Callithrix jacchus: one gene and its partners. The protein of the gene in region 1 purifies or fractionates together with the protein of each later gene. This does not show direct contact. Links are inferred from orthologs where the notes say so. Each region holds a gene or a part of one and is shown on either strand. Other genes may lie near its edges. The genes, in order: OCRL, AP2A1, SNX9, RAB1A and PHETA1.

What was found.
Region 2: the proteins of OCRL (region 1) and AP2A1 purify together in Homo sapiens (affinity purification with mass spectrometry; 3 studies listed by BioGRID and IntAct, counting the BioPlex papers as one, with this or other methods). This does not show direct contact. The link is inferred for Callithrix jacchus from reciprocal best matches to the Homo sapiens genes OCRL and AP2A1.
Region 3: the proteins of OCRL (region 1) and SNX9 purify together in Homo sapiens (co-immunoprecipitation; 3 studies listed by BioGRID and IntAct, with this or other methods). This does not show direct contact. The link is inferred for Callithrix jacchus from reciprocal best matches to the Homo sapiens genes OCRL and SNX9.
Region 4: the proteins of OCRL (region 1) and RAB1A purify together in Homo sapiens (co-immunoprecipitation; 3 studies listed by BioGRID and IntAct, with this or other methods). This does not show direct contact. The link is inferred for Callithrix jacchus from reciprocal best matches to the Homo sapiens genes OCRL and RAB1A.
Region 5: the proteins of OCRL (region 1) and PHETA1 purify together in Homo sapiens (co-immunoprecipitation; 5 studies listed by BioGRID and IntAct, counting the BioPlex papers as one, with this or other methods). This does not show direct contact. The link is inferred for Callithrix jacchus from reciprocal best matches to the Homo sapiens genes OCRL and PHETA1.

The regions. Positions count from the first base shown.
Region 1 is NC_133524.1:125,226,106-125,229,617, reverse strand, and holds part of OCRL (inositol polyphosphate 5-phosphatase OCRL), read right to left. Parts: intron 3,510-3,512; coding exon 3,399-3,509; intron 2,975-3,398; coding exon 2,885-2,974; intron 2,231-2,884; coding exon 2,110-2,230; intron 2,028-2,109; coding exon 1,866-2,027; intron 24-1,865; coding exon 1-23. UniProt on the Homo sapiens protein: Catalyzes the hydrolysis of the 5-position phosphate of phosphatidylinositol 4,5-bisphosphate (PtdIns(4,5)P2) and phosphatidylinositol-3,4,5-bisphosphate (PtdIns(3,4,5)P3), with the greatest catalytic activity towards PtdIns(4,5)P2.
Region 2 is NC_133523.1:43,555,060-43,558,571, reverse strand, and holds part of AP2A1 (AP-2 complex subunit alpha-1), read right to left. Parts: intron 2,886-3,512; coding exon 2,817-2,885; intron 2,698-2,816; coding exon 2,555-2,697; intron 2,447-2,554; coding exon 2,253-2,446; intron 1-2,252.
Region 3 is NC_133505.1:164,652,184-164,656,361, reverse strand, and holds the start of SNX9 (sorting nexin-9), read right to left. Parts: upstream 2,804-4,178; 5' UTR 2,627-2,803; coding exon 2,615-2,626; intron 1-2,614. UniProt on the Homo sapiens protein: Involved in endocytosis and intracellular vesicle trafficking, both during interphase and at the end of mitosis. Required for efficient progress through mitosis and cytokinesis. Required for normal formation of the cleavage furrow at the end of mitosis.
Region 4 is NC_133515.1:48,813,525-48,817,596, reverse strand, and holds the start of RAB1A (ras-related protein Rab-1A), read right to left. Parts: upstream 2,801-4,072; 5' UTR 2,610-2,800; coding exon 2,587-2,609; intron 1-2,586. UniProt on the Homo sapiens protein: The small GTPases Rab are key regulators of intracellular membrane trafficking, from the formation of transport vesicles to their fusion with membranes.
Region 5 is NC_133510.1:114,239,509-114,243,638, reverse strand, and holds the start of PHETA1 (sesquipedalian-1), read left to right. Parts: upstream 1-1,321; 5' UTR 1,322-1,505; intron 1,506-1,970; exon of another isoform or gene 1,971-2,583; intron 2,584-4,130. UniProt on the Homo sapiens protein: Plays a role in endocytic trafficking. Required for receptor recycling from endosomes, both to the trans-Golgi network and the plasma membrane.

The DNA of each region.
Region 1 (3,512 bases):
CATTCCAAGTTCCAACAAAAAATCTAATATATAATATGAAAAGATAATTTGAAAACAAAGATCAAGTATAAACCAACAGAAGGTCTTTCTTTTCACTTCTATACAAAGGTATGTTCACAATATGCTAACGTAATTCCTCAAAATGTTTTTCCACACATGTAAGAAAAATCTTTTGCATCTAGAACATAAAGGCAGTGGGCTTATTTTCTCTAAATTTTACATTAAGTAAAACTACAGAAGGAAACCAAGTCTCTATTTTTAAAAAATGCAAAGGTAATTGCTATACCACATTTCCTTTCAATTAAACTCCATCTAAACTCATACTTGAAAGGAGAGCTTACAGATGGGAAAGAGGTATCTTCATGCTGTAAGCTAGTCAAATATGGATAAATGTTCTATACAGGGCTGTAGCTGACTCCAGAAACTCACTTCCTGAAGGATTACAAGGACATCTGTGTAGGAAATTCTGAGGAGGCAGACATAGTATTAAGGGGGAAAGCAGAAGGGAAAACTCATGACTGTCTTAGCTGTTTACAAACAAATATAAGCATAGTGGGGAATATCAGGAACTGGAGGTTTTAGCATAGGAATATAGTTATGATTGAATTAGAATAAATGAGGCATGATAGGATAGCAGATGGGACTAGAATCTTGGACTAGAAGGGTACATTCTGCTCATGAGTAACAAAGAAAGGTGGTGTTACTTCATGCATTGGCGATACACGCCACATGGTACCTCACATGCAGCAAAAACACAGGTCCAGAAAAGAAGATGTCAACAAGTAAAGATGAAACAAAAAATAATACAGATGAAAGAATCCAAGACAGACCTTCCAATCAAGAAGACTGGGTGAAACTTACTTTACTTACCAAAGTAAGTTAAGAGCTAGTGGTAATGATGAACTTTAATTTTCTGGTATTGATGAGAAAAAAAAACTTAGCAGGCCAGATATATAAACAGGCTTGTTTATGGAATGTGCTAGGGGAAAATTCTCTAGTAGATGTGAGCTTGATTTGATTCTTCAAGACTCAATAGAGGCCAGGTGCAGTGGCTCACGCCTATAATCCCAGCAATTTAGGAGGCCGAGGCAGGCAGATCAGGAGGTCAAGAGATCGAGACCATCCTGGCCAACATGGTGAAACCCCGTCTCTACTAAAAAATACAAAAATTAGCTGGGTGTGGTGGGGTGCACCTGCAGTCCCAGCTACTCCAGAGGCTGAGGCAGGAGAATTGCTTGAACTCAGGAGGCTGAGATTGCAGTGAGCCGAGATAGCACCACTGCACTCCAGCCTGGTGCCTGGCAACAGAATGAGCCTCTGTTTCAAACAAAAAAAAAAATTAAAAAAAAAAAGACTCAATAGAGACATTAGTAGACATGGCATTATTAGTAGTTAAGCACGGTAGCTCACACCTATAATCCCAACACTTTTTTGCCTGACCTCAGGAATTTGAGACCAGCCTGGGAAACATGGCGAAACCCAGTCTCTATAAAAAAAAACAAAAATTAGCTGGGTGTGGTGGCGTGCGTCTGTAGTCCCAGCTACTTTCGAGGGCTGAGGTGGGAGGATTGCTTGGGACTGGGAGGTCAAGGCTACAGTGAGCCATGATCTACTCTCCAGCCTGGGTGACAAAGAGAGCTTGACTCACACACAAAAAAAGAAAATCCAAGGAAAACTGTAGCATCTGCATTATTTCTGATATGCACGTTACTGGCCAGCATAGAGACAGGAGCTTGAAACAGGCGACCATTCCTTTTTATCATATTTTGATTCTTAATTAGGCTAATAATGTCATAAATATCAACAGGCCACTGTCTGTTATACCTACTTACTTTTTGGACTCAGGAAGCAAAAGAGACACTAACCTGAAAGTCTGAATGTTGACATATTCTTTCTCTCGCTTTGCCAGGATATGTTTAATGAGACCCTCCCGCTGCCCAGATTGGGTATTTGGTACAAAGAGCTTCCGCATGGTGTTGGTCACTTTGGGCTGCTCCTTGTTAGAAGCTTCTTTTTCACGTGGAAGCCTAGCAAATAAAAGATTCAAAAGTAAAATTGTTTAAACTATAATTCTCCTATAGGGGAAATACGTTTTCACATAGGACTTACATTTTATTCACTGAAGGGGGTGGAGGTGGGGGTTCCCGATGAATCCCAGTAGGCTGATTTTGTGAATTTATTTTCTTGTCCAAATTCATAGAAGAAAAATTGTCTTCAAATCCAAGAAGCCCTGAAAGATACAGACCCCAGAGTCAAAGGGGGAAAAAAGCTAACATCCAACATTTCCAGGGTAACAGGGCTTTGATTTGATCAAAATTTGATCGGTGGTATTACTAAACAGAAAGCTGCCATAAGGGTAGAATTTACTTGGATTGGGGTTCAAAGAAGCACTGATACACTAACTAGAACAATAGTTTACACACTAGTAATAGCTAACATTTACTGAAGACTTAGTACAATGCCTGGTTAAACAGTAAGGGATTATATCATTATCTCACTTAATCATCACAAAAACTCTACGAGGTAAGTACTATTAAACTTCTTACCATGTTACAGAAAAGAAAATGGAAGTTCAGAGTTTTTGAGTAACTTGATGAAAGTCGTATAACTAGTAAGTCCTTGACTTGGGTGGGATTCAAACCCAGGCCAACTGGCTCTGGAGCTTGTACTTCCTACCACCCTGCTAAGTTGGCTCCTGAAAAGCTACCATGCTACAGAAAGGATGAGGAGTGAACATTGGTCAGTGGGCCTGCACTCGATAAAACTATTCTGCAGGAGAATGTATCTGACATTGGCTTTAATCTACATCATCATATTTGGCCTGACAAAATCTACTGACTCTGCAATGACCATAGCAACCAGAGAACCAGAAACTTTTCAGTACCTGAAAAACCGGAAGGTTTGTCCTTAGTGTCTAATTTCTGGTACCAGCTGGATGAGTCCTTTTGCTCTGGAACAAGAAGTTGTGACTGAGCTGGAGAGATATGGTTCATGGTCAGAAGCTGGGAAGTCTTTCACTGAGTAGAATTTACCATAGCGAAAAGCCATTCTTTTCAACATTCCTTACATGCAGGGGCCAGCACCATTTTTGGATATAGAAGAAACTAAGGAAATGAGGGCAGCTCTGGGGTCATTGAGGGGCAGAAGGAGAATTACAGTCTATGGTAAGCTATGCTTGCCACGACACTGAAGATTCTGGAAAGTGGCTTAGTATCCTTACAGCCAGGCAGATTTGTTCCCTAACCTATTCCTGTGTTCACTCCTGAAGAAAAAAAAAATCAGCTACCAGGGCTTAAAGGGTGAGGTATTTTGCCAATGGCCATTTCCCTCTGTATCAGCATGTCAGAATTTCATTCCCATTCAGACAGAAGAAAGAAAATTGCCGAGTCTTGAGTTACCTTTCTGAGCAACAAGGACCTCTGAGAGGAACTTCAAACCGTGTTCCTCATCAGGGATTTCAAAGCGGCGCTCTCTGGTCCAGTCCCCCTGAACCCGAATTTTGCAGCCACCTA
Region 2 (3,512 bases), on another chromosome or scaffold:
TGTACACAGCTCACGCCTGCCCCAGGGCCTCTGTGCTTGCTGGTCCTTTTGCTCAGGACGCTCTTTCTCCAACATCTTCAAATGATGATCTTATCATACACACCACCTCTGTGGAGAGACCCTCCCTCACTAGTCTAATTTAAACAACCTCCAACCAGATGCAGTGACTCAAACCTGTAATCCCAGCACTTTGGGAGGCTGAGGCGGGCAGATCAATTGAGGTCAGGAGTTCAAGATCAGCCTGGCCAACATGATGAAACCCCATCTCTACTAAAAATATAAAAATTAGGCCGGGCATGGTGGCTCAAGCCTGTAATCCCAGCACTTTGGGAGGCCGAGGCGGGTGGATCATGAGGTCAAGAGATCGAGACCAACCTGGTCAACATGGTGAAACCCCGTCTCTACTAAAAATATGAAAAATTAGCTGGGCATGGTGGCATGTGCCTGTAATCCCAGCTACTCAGGAGGCTGAGGCAGGAGAATTGCCTGAACCCAGGAGGCGGAGGTTGCAGTGAGCCAAGATCGCGCCATTGCACTCCAGCCTGGGTAACAAGAGCGAAACTCCGTCTCAAAAAAAAAAAAAAAATATATATATATATATATATATATATATATATATATATAAAAATTAGCCAGGCGTGGTGGCATGTGCCTATGATCCCAGCTACTCAGGAGGCTGAGGCATGAGAATTGCTTGAACGCAGAAGGCAGAGGCTGCAGTGAGCTGAGATCTGCACTCCAGCCTGGATGACAGAGTGAGACCCTGTTTCAAAAAAAAAAGAAAAAAAAAACCCAGCCTCCCCATGCCCCCTGCTGTCCCTCACAACCCTGTCGCATTTTCTTTGAGCATTCGTCACTACCTAAGATCATCTTACTTCCTCTTTTTGGAGGGCCACAAGTGCTGCTCCTGCCTCAGCCTCCTGAGTAGCAGGTGTGAACCACCAGGCCCGGCTAATTTTTCTTTTTTTTTTTTAATTTTAAGAGACAGGGTCACTCCAAGAGAACCCAGTCTTCAGGCTAATTAAAAAAAAAAAAAGAGAGAGAGAGAGAGAGACAGAGTCTCACCATGTTGCCCAGGCTGGTCTCGAACTCCTGGGCTCAATCGATCCTGCCTCAGTCAGCCTCCCAAAGTGCTGGGATTCCAGGCTTGAGTCATCGCACTGGCCCCTTCTTACTTCTTTACTTGTGTATTTGCTGCCTGTGCCCCCTAAGAAGTAAGCTCCTGGAGGGTGGGCATGGCTGAGAAGCTAGTTAGTGCTCAAGCAAAATGGAAAAAGAGTAGGCACAGCAGGGTCTCTGCTGTTCACTGCTGCCTCCCATGCCCAGAACAGCGCCCAGCACATTGTAGATGCTCCAGAAAGATCCGCTCAACAACTTCCTGCTTCAAGAGAATCACATAGCTGACCTCACTGCCGCTTTCCAATCGCAAAATACTGTTCCTCGCCCGGGTGTCAGCCTCGTGCCGCTTCCTCTGGGAAGCCCTCTCTGATCCTCCAGCTGGGTCAGGTATTCCTATTAAACACCCTTATAGGCCCCTGTGCCCAGAATGTAGTTCTGAGGGAGGAATTGTACTTTTTTTTTTTTTTGAGACAGGGTCTTGCTGTCTCCCAGGCTGTGCAGTGGCATGAACACAACTCGTTTTTTGTGTTTAGTAGAGATGGGGTTTTGCCATGTTGCTCAGTAGGGTCTCAAACTCCTAGACTCAAGCAATCCACCTCCCTTGGCCTCCCAAAATACAGGGATTACATGAGCCACCACGCCTGGCAGATTCTCCACTGCATCCTGCAATTCTTCCAACACCATTTATCTCCTGCTCCAGACCACGAACATGGGAGGGCAATGACCGTTTCTATCTCTGGTCAGGACACATCCCCAGCAATCAGCACAGTGGCTGGCACATAGTAGGTGGTCAGTAAATGTTTGGTGAATGACTGGAGCAGATGAAGACGTTCTGGAGGGCCATCACCCACCCAGCTTACAGTTATCCCTCTTATCCTGGGTGTTACAGTTCTGCAGTTCAGAGACTCCCCGGCCACCGGCTTTGTGGGGAAGCGGGCTCACGCCATCAAGTCAGCTTGCTATCATGAGAAGAGACAAGTCCAGAGCTGCCACCAGAACCACTGAGGTCCCCAGCGCAGCGTTAGCCCACGTCCCAGCCCGGCTCGGAGACCTCGGGCAGGTCTCTGAGCCTTGTCCTTGGCTGGGCCTCATCTCCCACACACCCGACTGCCCACGGGTCCCCAGTGCCTTACCCGGCCACCAGGATTCGGGGGATGTCTGCGGCAAAGGCCTCGCCCATCTCCCGGCTGCCCACGTTGGCGATGCAGTGCAGGGCCAGGCACATGAAGGTGGGGTTGCGGCTGGCCAGGTCGTTCTTGATGGCATTGTTGATCAGGCGGATCAGCTCCGAATTTGAGTTCACCAGCACAGAGATGAACAGGTAACCCTGTGGCAAGGCAGGTGGGGGGTGGCTAGGAGCCCTGTGACTGAGCGGCCCCAGATCCAACCCTCACACCCAGGAGTCCAGGCCCTGGCCTCCCCTCTCCAGACTCACTATCTGCTTCTCTGTGTATTTATTGGAGCTCAGCAGGTTCACAGCCTCCATGTGCCCAAAGTCAATGTCGTGGCCGAGCAGGAAGATGAAGAGCAGTTTACACACATATTTTTTCTTACTATAGCCGTCTAAGGCTTTGTCGCCTAGGGCAGAGGAAGGAGAAGGTGGGGAGCCAGAAACGAGGAAGGGTCACAGGATAGGTCCCAGGAGCCCCACCCCCAGCCCCTCCTCCCTCAGAGCCAGGAGTCAGGCCCCGGCCTACCTTTGAACTTGGAGCGGATATTGGCCAGTTCCTTGTTGATCCTCTTAATCTCCGCCTCTTTGCTCTTACCTGGGAGAAGAGGAGGAGGGTGGGTGGAGAGTTCTGTGGAGTCAGCCACCTGCTTTCCCTTTCCTAGGTACGGCCCCACCCAGCAGGAAGGCCAGATCTTCCCGGCCCCCAGGCCCTGGGGCTTAGGACAGGCCAGGACCCCTTCTCTGACTGGGAGCTTCAAAGATGGAGGAACCACCGCTCACTGAGCCCCACGGCACAGAGGGGAAGCACAGCACACACCCTTGGGCTGTCCCTGACTTCCTCTCGTTCCTCCTCCCACTGTGGCCCCTGATCTGTGGGGCTCCTCAGGCCCCGGACACGCTCCCTGAGAGCTCCTATCCCTGCCCCACACACACAATGAACAGGTGATGAATGAATGAATGAAGAGCTTAGCTATCACTAGGGCGCTCACTCCTACCACTGAGCTCACTGCTTCCTCTCCCAGTTCTCAATCCCATGAAGGTCCCACTGTCCACCCAGGCACCAGGTCAGACCCTTGGGTGAGACCCTTGCGCCCCCTGCCCCGTCCCTAGGGCCATGGCTTCGTCCTCTCCCATGTGGCCTGTCCCCACTGCCTCTGGTCTCCTGGCTGCCAACCTCTCCCATTTGTGTGGGACATTCCTACACCTCTGCCAGGACCCGCTT
Region 3 (4,178 bases), on another chromosome or scaffold:
AGCAGAATTTTTTTTTAATCCCTATAGTTCAGAAACAATCACATCCTTAAGAAAATACATAAGAACAAGTAAGAAAATTGTATCTGAAGATACTGTAGCCAATTCTCTGGTAAATTCAAAGGGAAACTGACATCACCTAAAATATCCAGACACTGAATTTACTTTTCATCACTTAATAATTACAGCAACAGCCTGAGTGCAAAGGGAGCCTAAATTTTTATTAAAAGGTAGTCATTACTACTAAATACATTCCCCCACCCCTTGAAGAAAACGAAGAAAAAAAAATAGAACTACTCAGATGTGGGGAAGGGCAGGCGTGTATACATGGGGGAAGGGAGGCAAAGGACCAACTTGATTCTCTGGGAACAATTAAAAAATGAGACTTTGGTTGGACACAACAATCACCAGCATGTCAGAAAACTAAGGAAGGCTATTCTTTTTCTTCAAACTCATCACAATGTAAACATGGAAATGAGCGCCATGTGGAACAGTGATTAGTCAGCCGAAACAAACTAACTACTGGAATATGCCTTCAGAGTGGTGTAGATAACCAAGCAGGAAGTGCTTATACATGTTTTAAGACTCGTGTTTAAGTGAAGACACACGCAATTCAAGATGAATACAAGCACCACTGTCCTTTTCAAATTTTTGGGGAAAAAATTAAGTTTAGGCTTAACAATGAAATAAAAATTTCACCAGGTATACCCGCACTAGTTGCTAAACTGCATTCCACTTAAAGGACAGTACAGGTAACACGCCTCAGCAGACCAGAGTGGGAAAAACACAATACTGACCACCACTGGACAGATCTCTAGGTCATAAACCGCTTTTTTTTTTGACAGAGCCTTGCTCTCCACAACCGCCACCTCCCGGGTTCAAGCGATTCTCCTGCCTCAGCCTCCAGAGCAGCTGGGACTATAGGTGCACACCACCACACCCAGATAATTTTTGTATTTTTAGTAAAGATGGGGTTTCATCATATTGGCCATGCTGGTCTCGAGCTCCCGACCTCAGGTGATCTGTCCACCGCGGCCTTTCAAAGTGCTGGGATTACAGGCGGGAGTGAGCCACCGCGCAGGGTCTATAAACCGATTTAAGGTTGCAAGATGAGTGTGTAGTAGGATGTGTAACCAGTAATTTCTGGAATGTTTGGCAACAAACCTCAAAATCAAATTTGCTTAGAAATCCTTGGCCTAAGTTTTATTTTTAAAAAGGTCAAAGCAAAATTAATACATTAAAAAGGTGGCAAATTATATCACATTAATAAAACCAAGGCACAGCACAGGCAATAATATATTAGTAAGAAGGTTAATTATTTCAGTAACTGCAGCAACAGGTTCCCTGGAGGAGAATCCCCATTTCTCTATAAACGCGGCACCTAGATGGATTCAGAGAACAAAATCTACCGCAGCACAAAATCTGGCAGAGGGTAATCAAGCAATTCTGATCTTTCAAAGAGATTTGAAATGTCTTATCATTTTCCACTTTATCACTCCACAAACGCGCGCGCACATACACACACCTATCGAAAAATAAAAATAAAAAAAAATAAGGTTTCCACCAACCCAAAAGTAGCTCAGAGATCTCAAAAACAAATAGAGAAAGGGGTTCTGATGCTTAGAAACTGACATTACAAAAACTAAATGCAAAAGTAAACCCGCTCCTCACAGCATATCATAGATCAGTCAATGGCTCAGGGATGGAGCCTCCTCCCCCAGGTCCTCCTTCCGCGTCCCTGACTTTCCCAACAACTATTTTACATCAAATAACTACTGAAAAGGGCCTGGGAAAAGGAGCGGGGGAAGGTGGCTTTTGAACACTCAGGTAGCAAGGAGTGACTGCTAATTTCATAAACAATAACGTAAAAGAGGGAAACCACCGCTCCTAGCCAATTACCAAGCAGGAGTCAAAGTTCCACGACGTAATTCGGGCCTGGGCCTTTACTCAGGCAAACACGTAATCGAAAGCACAGTCATTTCCCTCTTGATATTTTATTCATGCTGGCAATACCAGTCACACTGAAAAGGCAGCAAAACAAAACAAAAAAATAACAGCAGCGAAGGCAGCGGGGCTCTGGGCGTCCCAGCCTCCGTCCATCCCCGGACGCGAGCTCCCGCAGGCTGGGACGGGAAGCGCCGCGTCCTCTCCGCCGGGGTCTCGACTCCTAATCGCCTCGCGGGGCCGAGGGTCCCCCGGGCGCAGCAGAAGGGGACGCGGAGACGGCGGACAACAGGGAGCGCCTATCGCCTAGGGGGCCTCCTAGGGCTGCGGGAAGTTTCCGTCCCGCTCCCACGGCCCCTCCCGGAGAGCCAGCCGCAGCCCACTCTCTCAGGTGCAAACTTCGCAAACCTAGCTGCGCCCTGGGACCCGACCCGCGTCTGCGCGCAGATCCGACGCCCTCCCCCAGCGCGATCCCGGCGGTCCCCACAGCCCGCCGCACCCATGCCCGGAGGGGGCTGGCTGGGCCGCGGAGCCGTCCGGGAACCCAACCGAGGACGCGGCGTGGCTCCTCGGCGGCCCCCGTTCCCGACCCTCCCCGCGGCCCCGGCCCCGACCCTCCCCGCGCCGCTGTGGGCCTGATCGGCCGGCCGGGCCTGCGCCGCGCACCCCTCACCTTGGTGGCCATGGCGGGCGGGTCTCCCGGCCCGGGACGGCCGGCTCGTCTCCTGCGTTGCGGATGGTGGTTCCGAGCCGCGAGGGGGTGGGCGGCGGCTCCGGATGGGCCCCGGCGCGGCGGCGACTGCTTCGCCTCGGCCCCGAGTCTGGACGCTCAGGCCCCGCCGCTGGGCGCTCTGCGACTCCCGCGCCGCCCGCTCCTGCAGTTCCTGAAAGTCCCCGGCTGCGCGGCCCCCGCCCCTGCCGGCCGAGCCTCCCATTTACCGCGGCGCGCGCGGCGCCCGGCGGAAGCGCGCCCTGGGCCCTCGGCCGCGGCCCGGCCTCCAGGCCGCCCCCGCGCCGCGCCACCGCCCGGCCCCCTTCGTCTAGGCTCGGGGCCGCGTCCTGAGCTGCGGTAGGGTCGGGGCGGGATCCCGGAGCCATGTCCGGCAGGCCGCATAGCCGCCCCACGGAAAGCGCTCCGCGGCCCACCGAGCTGCTCGGGGGAGCCGAACCCCAGAATCCGTTCACGCTCGGCCGGCGCCGAACGCCGTGGCTCGGGGCTTTCCGTGCAAGAGGCGGGAGGGGGCGGCAGGAACTCGCGAAGCGCCCTGAAGGCAGGAGCCCCCCCACCCCGCGATTTGTGCCCTACGCCGGTGCTGCTGCGGGGTCGCGGTGCCCTGGCCCGAGTATCCTGAGTACCACATAAACAGCCGGGAAGGAACGGAGCAATGGCTTCCTGGGCCTCTTCCTCTCGCCCGGAGGCTCCCTCAGGCCGGGGTCCTGGCTTGGAGCCCCTGGAACGGGACCTTGGGGGCTTCGTTCTGTGATCTCCGGTTAACCTCCTTCTGGACTCTTGATACGTTTAAAAATGCCCGAGTGCCCCAGAGGTTTGGGGAACAGCAGGATCTCTGAAATGGAAATGAGGGTTCTAAAATTGTCCATCTTTCTTGTCAGTGGTTTTCTCCAGAGTTGGATATATATATATATATATATGGGAGTTTTGAATAAAAGAATGACTTGAATTGAGCAGCAAGATTTTTCACTCAAGGACAAAACACACGACTGGAAGATATTTTAATTGGCATACTAGTGGAGTACTTTGTTATTATGAGGGATGTATTTGTAAGAAGAGAACTATCAGATCAAATCTAAATACTCCATAGTATTTAGAGTTAATGTCAAGTTTGTGTCTTTTTAAATATGTTGTATTTGACCTGAGATTTCGCTAGTTCAATAATGGAGATTAAATACGGTATTGCAGAATTTTCTGTGAATTTTTGTGTTTGTCTAGCTCATGGTTAAAGCTGTAGTCATCATAATATGCATAGTTTTCTTTCCCCGTAAATAAAATGTTGGAGGCCAACATTCTTTGACAACCTGCTTGCTGTATACTAGGCTTTTACATCCCCATCTCATTTAATCCTTGTAGGAAACATGTGAGAAACTCATCATTGTCCACTGTTTACAAAGATGAGCCAATCAGGGCTCACTTAAATAACTTGCCCCTTTGGTAATACTTATTCAAATTGAAAATGACCATAACCTTGGACCCAGCAGCCCTCCTAGGAATTTATCCTCCT
Region 4 (4,072 bases), on another chromosome or scaffold:
TACTAAAAATACAAAAAATTAGCTGGGCACGGTGGTGTGTGCCTGTAATCCCAGCTACTCAGGAGGCTGAAGGAGGAGAATTGCCTGAACCCAGGAGGCGGAGGCTGCAGTGAGCCAAGATCGAGACATTGCACTCCAGCCTGGGTAACAAGAGCGAAACCCCGTCTCAAAAAAAAAAAAAAAAAAACCTGCTAAAGTCAGATTGCTAAAAATCTGATTGTTGGCTGCCCTTGTAACCTTCCCTAATAAAATATCCCTCACTTCCTCTTACCCTAATTTCCACTAACATTTTTGCAAAAGTTTTCCCAAATTCCTGTTTTACTTTACTCAACAGTCTAGATAGACTACAAATATAGTAGGCCAGATACTCATGTATTTGATGCCAGAAAAAATATAAAAACTATTTCTGGATTTGATTCCATTGAGGTCATTAATCTAGTCTTCAAAAGAAAAGGATGATGTGATACCACATTTACTCAAGAATTACTATCCCTGTCATCTATGAGCCATTCCTGCTTCTCCTCCTTGAAAATTCCTTCTCACTCCCTCTGTTCCTCCAAATCCAATTGCTGCTGATAATTTCCTTTCAGGTCTCTTTTCTATAAAGTCTTCCAAAACCCAGATAGCTAATCACAACCCACCATCCCCGAAATCTTGTTGCTCTCATCAACGACACACATCTGGAATTTGCTGCATTTACTGGTATTTGACATGCATAAAATGTTTATCTATATTCCTAAACTCCTTAAACATAAAGATTATATTCCTAAATCTTAGCACTAATAGAACGCCTTTCATGAAAATTACGCATACTACCTGAAGAATGCTCATATAGTTTTCCTAATTCTTTTATATGCATTTGAATTTCACCACTACCCTGAAAGGAATAATGATTCCAATTATTCTATTTAACAAAAGGGGAAATAAATTCAGAGGCTAACTTGTCAAAGTTCTCAACTAATCTTGAATATCTATTTACAGTACTAAACATATATATAGTAAATTCAGAAAAAGCCCTTAACAGTACAGGTTTATGAACTTTGATAGAGCGGTAAATCCATATTCTTTACTGTTACCAAGAAAACCACTAAATTAAGAACCTCAAGTTCAACTGTGTTCACCTGTGCAAAACCAACTGTGTCCTTGGAGCCCTTGAAAAAAAAATTTTTTTAACTGTCAACAAAGTAAATATGTCACTACAAGAACACTACCGTCAACTTCTAAAGCATAAAATTCTAATAAAATACTATGGTTTCAGTTTAGTGCAAAAGATTTCAGCATCAAGCCAGTGTTACAAAACTTGAAGAATGCATTTTGCAAGAGCCATGTGACACACACATGACAGTCAGCTAAACTGGTGGGTGGACCTTTTAGGGGAAAATGTTTAGCAGTAATTGATCAAAGCAGCAAATAAACTCAACTTTTACAACAAATACTCATTTCCCCCATCCCTCAAAGGCTTTTGACACTGAAAAGAAATACCAATTCTATCTCTTCCAATTACTCATTACTTTACATATATGTAAACTGTAGAGGAAATTTTTAAAGGGCCACTGAGGAGAGCCAACAAAGTCTACCCAAGGGAAGTGAACACCAGTTCCCAGGAAAGGTGCCAGGTGTGTCACATCTGCTGTCGTGACTTCTTGAGTAAGCAAGAAAAAGAAATGCATTAACTTTTCATGACACGTCATGGAACCTCATTGCCTATCATTCCCTATCTGCAATCATTCAAGCAGGTAATCCAAAACCTACATACAGATCTATCATAGGTCCCATTCGTTTCTCTTTCAACTTGACAGCAGGGTTCCTTTAATCTGGTAGTATCAGAAAAACATTCCTTGGCTTTAGCTGTGTGTTTTTTTTCCTTGACCTACAGAAGACAAAATGACTTAAGTGTCCTCTAAAAAAAAAAAAAAAAATTCTCACAAGTGCCCAGGTTTTTAGGAGGGCAATGGAACCGCCGAGTTCTTAAAGAACTCTTCCAAGACACAACTCAAAAAAGAGAACTTAAAAATCGCTTCTCACCATCTACTCATTCCCCTCAATCCCAAGCAGTCCCGAAAAGCATCCATATTACCTGAAACCTGGCGGAGAGGATGGAAGGAGAGGGAGCCAAGAAGCTCAGGATTTGCAAGTAAAGCTGGTTTCCACCCCGAGGATCCTGACAGTTCCGCAGAGTGCGGGCGCAGGGTCTGCCAGTGCCCTCTAGGAGGGCTCTCCCACGCCATCCCCTCCCCTCAGAAACAAGTCCTCCTTCAAAAGTCACTGCCTCCAGGAAAAGCTAACCCTTCACACCGCCTCAGGACCCTCCGCACAGTTCCTCAGCACCCGCCCCACACTCAGGCCCTCCAACCTGACCTGGTCCAGGCCCGGGCGTCTCACCCCTCCGGCCCGACCCCTCCCCCGCCCGGCCGCCCCTCCGCGTCAGACAATGGGGCCCGGCTCCCGGCCGCCAGCCTCTCCTGACCCATCACCCTCGCCTCAACCCAGCTGAGGCTCCGACTTCCGCCCCAACCCTCCTTGCCCCCTTTAAGATCCCTCAAGCTGGCCCACGGACCCAGCCGACCGGTGCTCTCCTGAACTCACTATTCGGGATTCATGCTGGACATGTCACTGCAGCTGCCGCCGCCGCCACCGCCGCCCTTGCTGCTGCAGCCGCCGCCCTGACTCTCCGCGCCACGGGTAATCGAAGGAAAGGAATGAGATAGGCTGTTCCGGGAGAGCAAACGTCTTCCCCCACTCAGTCCCCTAGAACACAATCAGCAGCCGCTGCCACTCAGCTATCGCTTCCACCCAAAATGGCTGCCGGCGAACCAGGAAATAGGGAAGCCTTAGACCAAGGAGCCTTTACACAGCCGGAGGGCGGCCGCACCGCCTGGCATGCCGGGAATGGGAGTCGCGAGTGCGGATACGCGAGCTGAAAACAGACGGTGCGGAGCGGAGGCCAAGACTCAGCTTCCCGCCAAGCGCCGCGCGTTTGGAGCATGCGTACTTGAAGGGTTGTCGCCCGCCCTATTCCCCACTCCCTCACCTCCCCACCCTCCGCCCCTCCTTGCTCCCCTCCCCTCTGACTCGCTGGCTAGGACTTCGCTCTGACTCCCCCTGGCGGATTGGCTAAGGCCGAGCGGCCCTGGTGATGTCAGCAGTGAGACGTGGCAGCTGGGCTAGTAAGCGCCCCACGCGGGAGGGGGCGGAGAGGGGCGGAGAGAGGCGGAGGGCGGTGCCGGCGGTCGACGGAGGCTGGGGGTCGGGGAAGGTTGGGGACCGGAGGGAGTGGTCAAACCGGAGAGACTGCCGGGGTGCAAGGGCGGGGAGGGGGCCGGGGGCGGGGGACACGCGTGGCGGCTCAGGCCCCCGGTGTGGCTTTTGCTGACCTAACCAGCTTGAGGCTTGCGCCACCCGGCTGGCTAGTCGGAGGACGTCCGCTCTAAGGACAGAAGGGAAGTCAAGGGGCTCCCTGGACAACCCGGAGCGGTTCTTTCACTTCTCACCCAGCCCCAACTTGGTTCGGTCATCGTCCATTGTTGGCCCCGCGCACTACCATTTTCTTTGATTTCTTCTTATTCTTACTGCTGCCCCTGTCTTAACTCGTCAGCCTGGATATTGCAGTAGTCTCCTAATGGGCTCTGCCTCTCTCTTCTCCGCCCCAGCCCATTTGCGCACACAATCGAATGTATCTTTCTGAGACAGCACCTCTACCATGACCCCACAACCTTCAGTGGCTCCACATTCCATGGACGGGAGGGACACAGCCCAGAGCCAGCCTAAAATCCAAGTCCTCCCTTCGTGCCAGCCTTCAAGTTGAGTTGTAATGTCTTATTTTCAGTTGTTACTAATCCTGAGCCATTCTGCAAGATTGGAAAATAATAAACAATAAAAACATGCAATTCATCACTACATAATGCCTACAATTTCTGAGGGTATTATTTATTAACTCATTTTTTAAAAACCTGTGGTCTTAACAGCTCTCTTTAATCAGCGCAGGAATTTAAATCTCCACTAAACTTTAACACATTATCTTGAGTTATTTAATTACAAAGGGCATAGTATAATACATTGTCCAAAGTTTATA
Region 5 (4,130 bases), on another chromosome or scaffold:
GCGGTGAGCCGAGATTGCGCCATTGCACTCCAGCCTGGGCAACAAGAGCGAAACTCCGTCTCAAAAAAAAAAAAAAAAAAAATTAGTCAAGTGTGGTGGCGCACACCTGTAGTCCCAGCTACTTGGGAGGCTGAGGTCGGAGGATTGCTTGAACCCAGGAAGTCAAGGTTACAATGAGCTGTGATTGTGCCAGTGCACTCCAAACTGGGTGACAAAAAAAAAAAAAAAAGCAAAAAGAAAGCTGCACTACCAGGCTTTCTGCCCCATTGCCTTGGCGTATAGACCTAGCATGAATCACTTCCTGAACTCATTTGCTGTTGTCTTGATTCCTGGCTGCACCTACTTACCCGGTTCAGGAACAGTGCCTGGCACACAGTAGGCACTTAGTAAGATGCTATACAATGGAGAGCTGACCCTGGTCTGTCCTGTTCTTCCTGCCCTCAGGCCAGGACTGGACAGTGATTAGGAGGTGGTAGGTGGTGGAGAAAAGGCAGCAGGAACAGGAAGCAAGGAAGGGTTCAAGGAGGTGAAACTGTGTTATTTTGGACAGGGCAAAATCAACAACAATTCCTATTTCTTGGGAGCCTACTACTGTGCCGTGCACATTACATATTATTATTGTGTTTATTTTCCCGATGAGGAAACGGAGACCTAAAGAAGTGAAATGATTTCTCTAAGGTCACAGAGTGTTCAGTGGGCTAGTGCAACTCGAACTCAAGTCTGTCCAATTCCAGAACTTTCTCTCTTCACCTGGGTCCAGGGGAGGCTCGAGGCACCCTGTTCCTATGGAAGACTGCTGTATACAAATGTCCTGGATTCAGCTGCTTTCCGCCAAGTACACATTTTTGAGGAGTTAGAGCTATTTTTCTAATTTAACTGGGCGTTAAATTTGCTAAACCTGGCAACCCAGGTTTAGCACATTTTTTTTTATTTGTAGAGATGGGGGCCTCCCTATGTTGCCCAGGCTGGTCTTGAACTCCTGGGCTCAAGCGACCCTCCTGCCTCGTCCTAGGGGGAGCTCAGACTGAACTCTAGGACTTCAGCAAATGGCCCGCCCAGGAACCCCGAATGCTCTTTCCGGGCGAATCCACGGCCTGGGCCGGTCGTTACCTTTGGAATCTCAAAGAGCTTCTGGGCTCCAGCACTGGGGAATGGCGAGCCAGGCGCGGACCCTTTAAGAGTGATTTCGAGGGCGGGCTCACGGGGGCGTGGCAAATCCAGGGGCGTGCCGGGTGGGGGCAGGCCAATCGAGAGGCGAGACGAACGGGCGGCGCGGGTAGGTTGGGAAGGGTTAAAGGGGCGCGCCAGTGGGTCGCGGACTGTCCGGTCGCTCCCGCCTCCTTCCGTCGGATCCGCGCTCTCCCGCGGCTGCGCCGGCCTGGCCACCCGGGAGACAAAGCGCTGCCGCCGCCGTCGCCGCAACCGGGCCAGTCCCGGACCATGGCCCGGCCATCCCCCGGCCTCGCGCCTCCTGTCCCGTCGCCGCACTAGGCCTGCGCTTCGAGGTAAGGCGGGCCTGGCCGGGGGACCTGCACAGGGATGCGGGACCTGGGTCGGGCCGCCCTGGGCCTCGGGGTGCCCCGGCCACCTGGAGAGCCCGCTGCGAGGATCTTCCCCGCTGGGACTCCGCACCAGCGGTCACTTTTCCGGCAGCCTAGGCGGACTTGGCCGATGACTACCCTCCCCGCCCCCAGCATAGGGACGTCTGCCGCTGAGGGGGACTGCGGCTAAGCTCCTCATTCTGCCGCTGACCACCCATCCGGGGCTCGGGCTGTCCTTTACCGAACTTAAGAGAGCTCCCACGCTCAATACACAAAGAGACAGAGGACAGCTGGGAGCAGGGCCAGAGCTGGAGAAGCAGGCAAGGGGGCTGTCTGTGCGCGGACGGTGGTGCTGGCGTCCCTGGGGTCCCTGCTGGGGCCGTGATAGACTGGCTGCTCTTCAGTGTTCTTGGCACACATGTTTTTCAGCCTGTGCCTGCCACACCCTCTTCCCCATGCCCGCTGCTGGGGGACACTGAGGGCAGCTGGATTCAACCCCAAGACCTGCGGTTCTGGCTTCTTTCATTGAAGTGAGTGCCAAAATGCCATGCCTCAGTCTCCCCAGAGACCTGGGTTCCAGGGCCAGCTGTGCCCCTGGAGATCTTAGATGAATTATTTGCCTTTTGGTGGCTCTTTCCCTGAGCGTTCAACTCACTACCAACCAAGTAATTTGCAAAATGACTCTTCAGGAATAAATTCACTCAGCCCTTAGAGGGATGGAAGTTAACTCCCCATTTTGCTGATGAGGCTGCGAAAATCCCCAACTCAGAGCAGCTACTATTTGCAGTCCCTTTCCCAGTTTGCCTGTGGGTTTTCCTTCTTTTAGCTCACTGAACCTTCGACACACAGCCCATTTTAACAGATGAGGAAACTGAGGCTTGGAAAGGTGAAATGACTTGTCCAAGATCCTCTAGCCTGTACCGGCAGAGGCAGGACCCTGGCCTTGGAAGCAGAGGGGCCAGGCTCCCTCCAGCTTCCTGCCTGGCTGTTGAATCAGCAGCAGTGCCCACAGTGGACTCTGAACTTTTTGGAAAACAGCATGGTAAGATAAGACAGGGGCCAGGCCTTCCCTCTAGGCAAGGCTGGAGCCTGTGCCCCTGTGGCTTCCTGCCTTCCCCGTTCTGGTGGAGGCAGGGGTCATGGACAGAGCCAGGTCATGCCTGCTGGTGACCTTGAACCAGTTTGGCCTCCATCTGTGCAGTGGAGGGGGGAGTGTTGCTGAGCAGGAGGGAAGTTCCTATTCCTTCGGCCTTGTTGGGGTGGGGAGACCCCAAGATCAGCTCCTTTTTTGGGTGGCTTGCCTGGAGTATATGATTCTGGGCACAGTTGTATGCCTCTGGCCAACTTACTGAACCTCTCTGTGGCCATTTCCATGTCTATGAATGTGGGGTGAGACCCCTTGTCTTGGGCCTGTTGAGAGGTTTAAGAAGATACCTGTAGAATGAATCAAACAGCTGTGTGAGCACCTACTGCATGCGAGGCACTGGAATTCAAATCACAAACACCCCTGCTTTCCTGGAGCAGGCAAAAATGACCCCAGTACTAATAATTTCAGAAGGAGGCACAGGAGAGGGACTGGGGGGGGCTCTTGTGCATAGGGTGGCCAGGGACCAATCCTGAGACCAAAGGATGGGGAGCTGGCCTTGTGAAGACCTGGAGAGGACACTGTAGGCAGACAGCCAGGGCCAGGTCTCAGAGGCAGGGATGTGTCTGCTGTATTTGAGGAACAGAAAGGAGGCCAGGATGGCTGGAGCTGAATGAGCAAGGGGAAAAGAGGTAGGGAAAGGGAACTTGGAAGCCATGGGAAGCTTTTTTTTTTTTTTTTTTTTTGAGACAGGGTCTCACTATGTTGTCCAGGCTGGAATGCAGTGGCATGATCACTCCCAAATTCAAAGGGTCCTTCCATGTCAGCCTCCCAGATAGTTAGGACTAGAGGTTTGTGCCTCCCAGATAGCTAGGACTAGAGGTGTGTGCCTCCCAGATAGCAAGGACTAGAGGTGTGTGCCACCATACCCAGCTGTTTTTTCTATTTTTTATAGTGATAGGGTCTTGCTGTGTTGTCCAGGCAGGTTTCTAACTCAAGCAATCCTCCGGCTTCAGCCTTCCAAAGTGCCAGCATTACAGGTGTGAGCCACCGCGCCCTGCCTAAGGATTGAATTTTATGCTGAGAGAAGCAGGGAGGGTTTAGAGCAGAGGAGGAGTGTGATTGGACTTAATTTTCACAGGATCCCTCTGTGGGGAGTGGATTTCAGTGTGGCTTGGAGAAGAGCCTGGGAAATAGGCTTGGATCTTACCTTGAGGAATGTGGACAGGGAGGGGAAAGGAGACTTCTGAGGAGGCTTCAGCAGTGAATGATGATGGGGCTTAGAATGGGGAGGTGGGGTGGACAGATTAGGCAACTGATTTGGAAGAGGCTGGAGGGGGGATCAACTGGACTTGATGGGTGATCAGATGTAGGGGTGAGAGGGAAACCAAGGGCCATTTGCTCAGGTTGGAAGCACTAGATGGGGGTGTCTGGGGAAAAGCCAAGAAGAATGTGAATTGCTACTGTGCTCAGCAGGCACTTTGTGCCTAGCCCTGTGCTCCGCA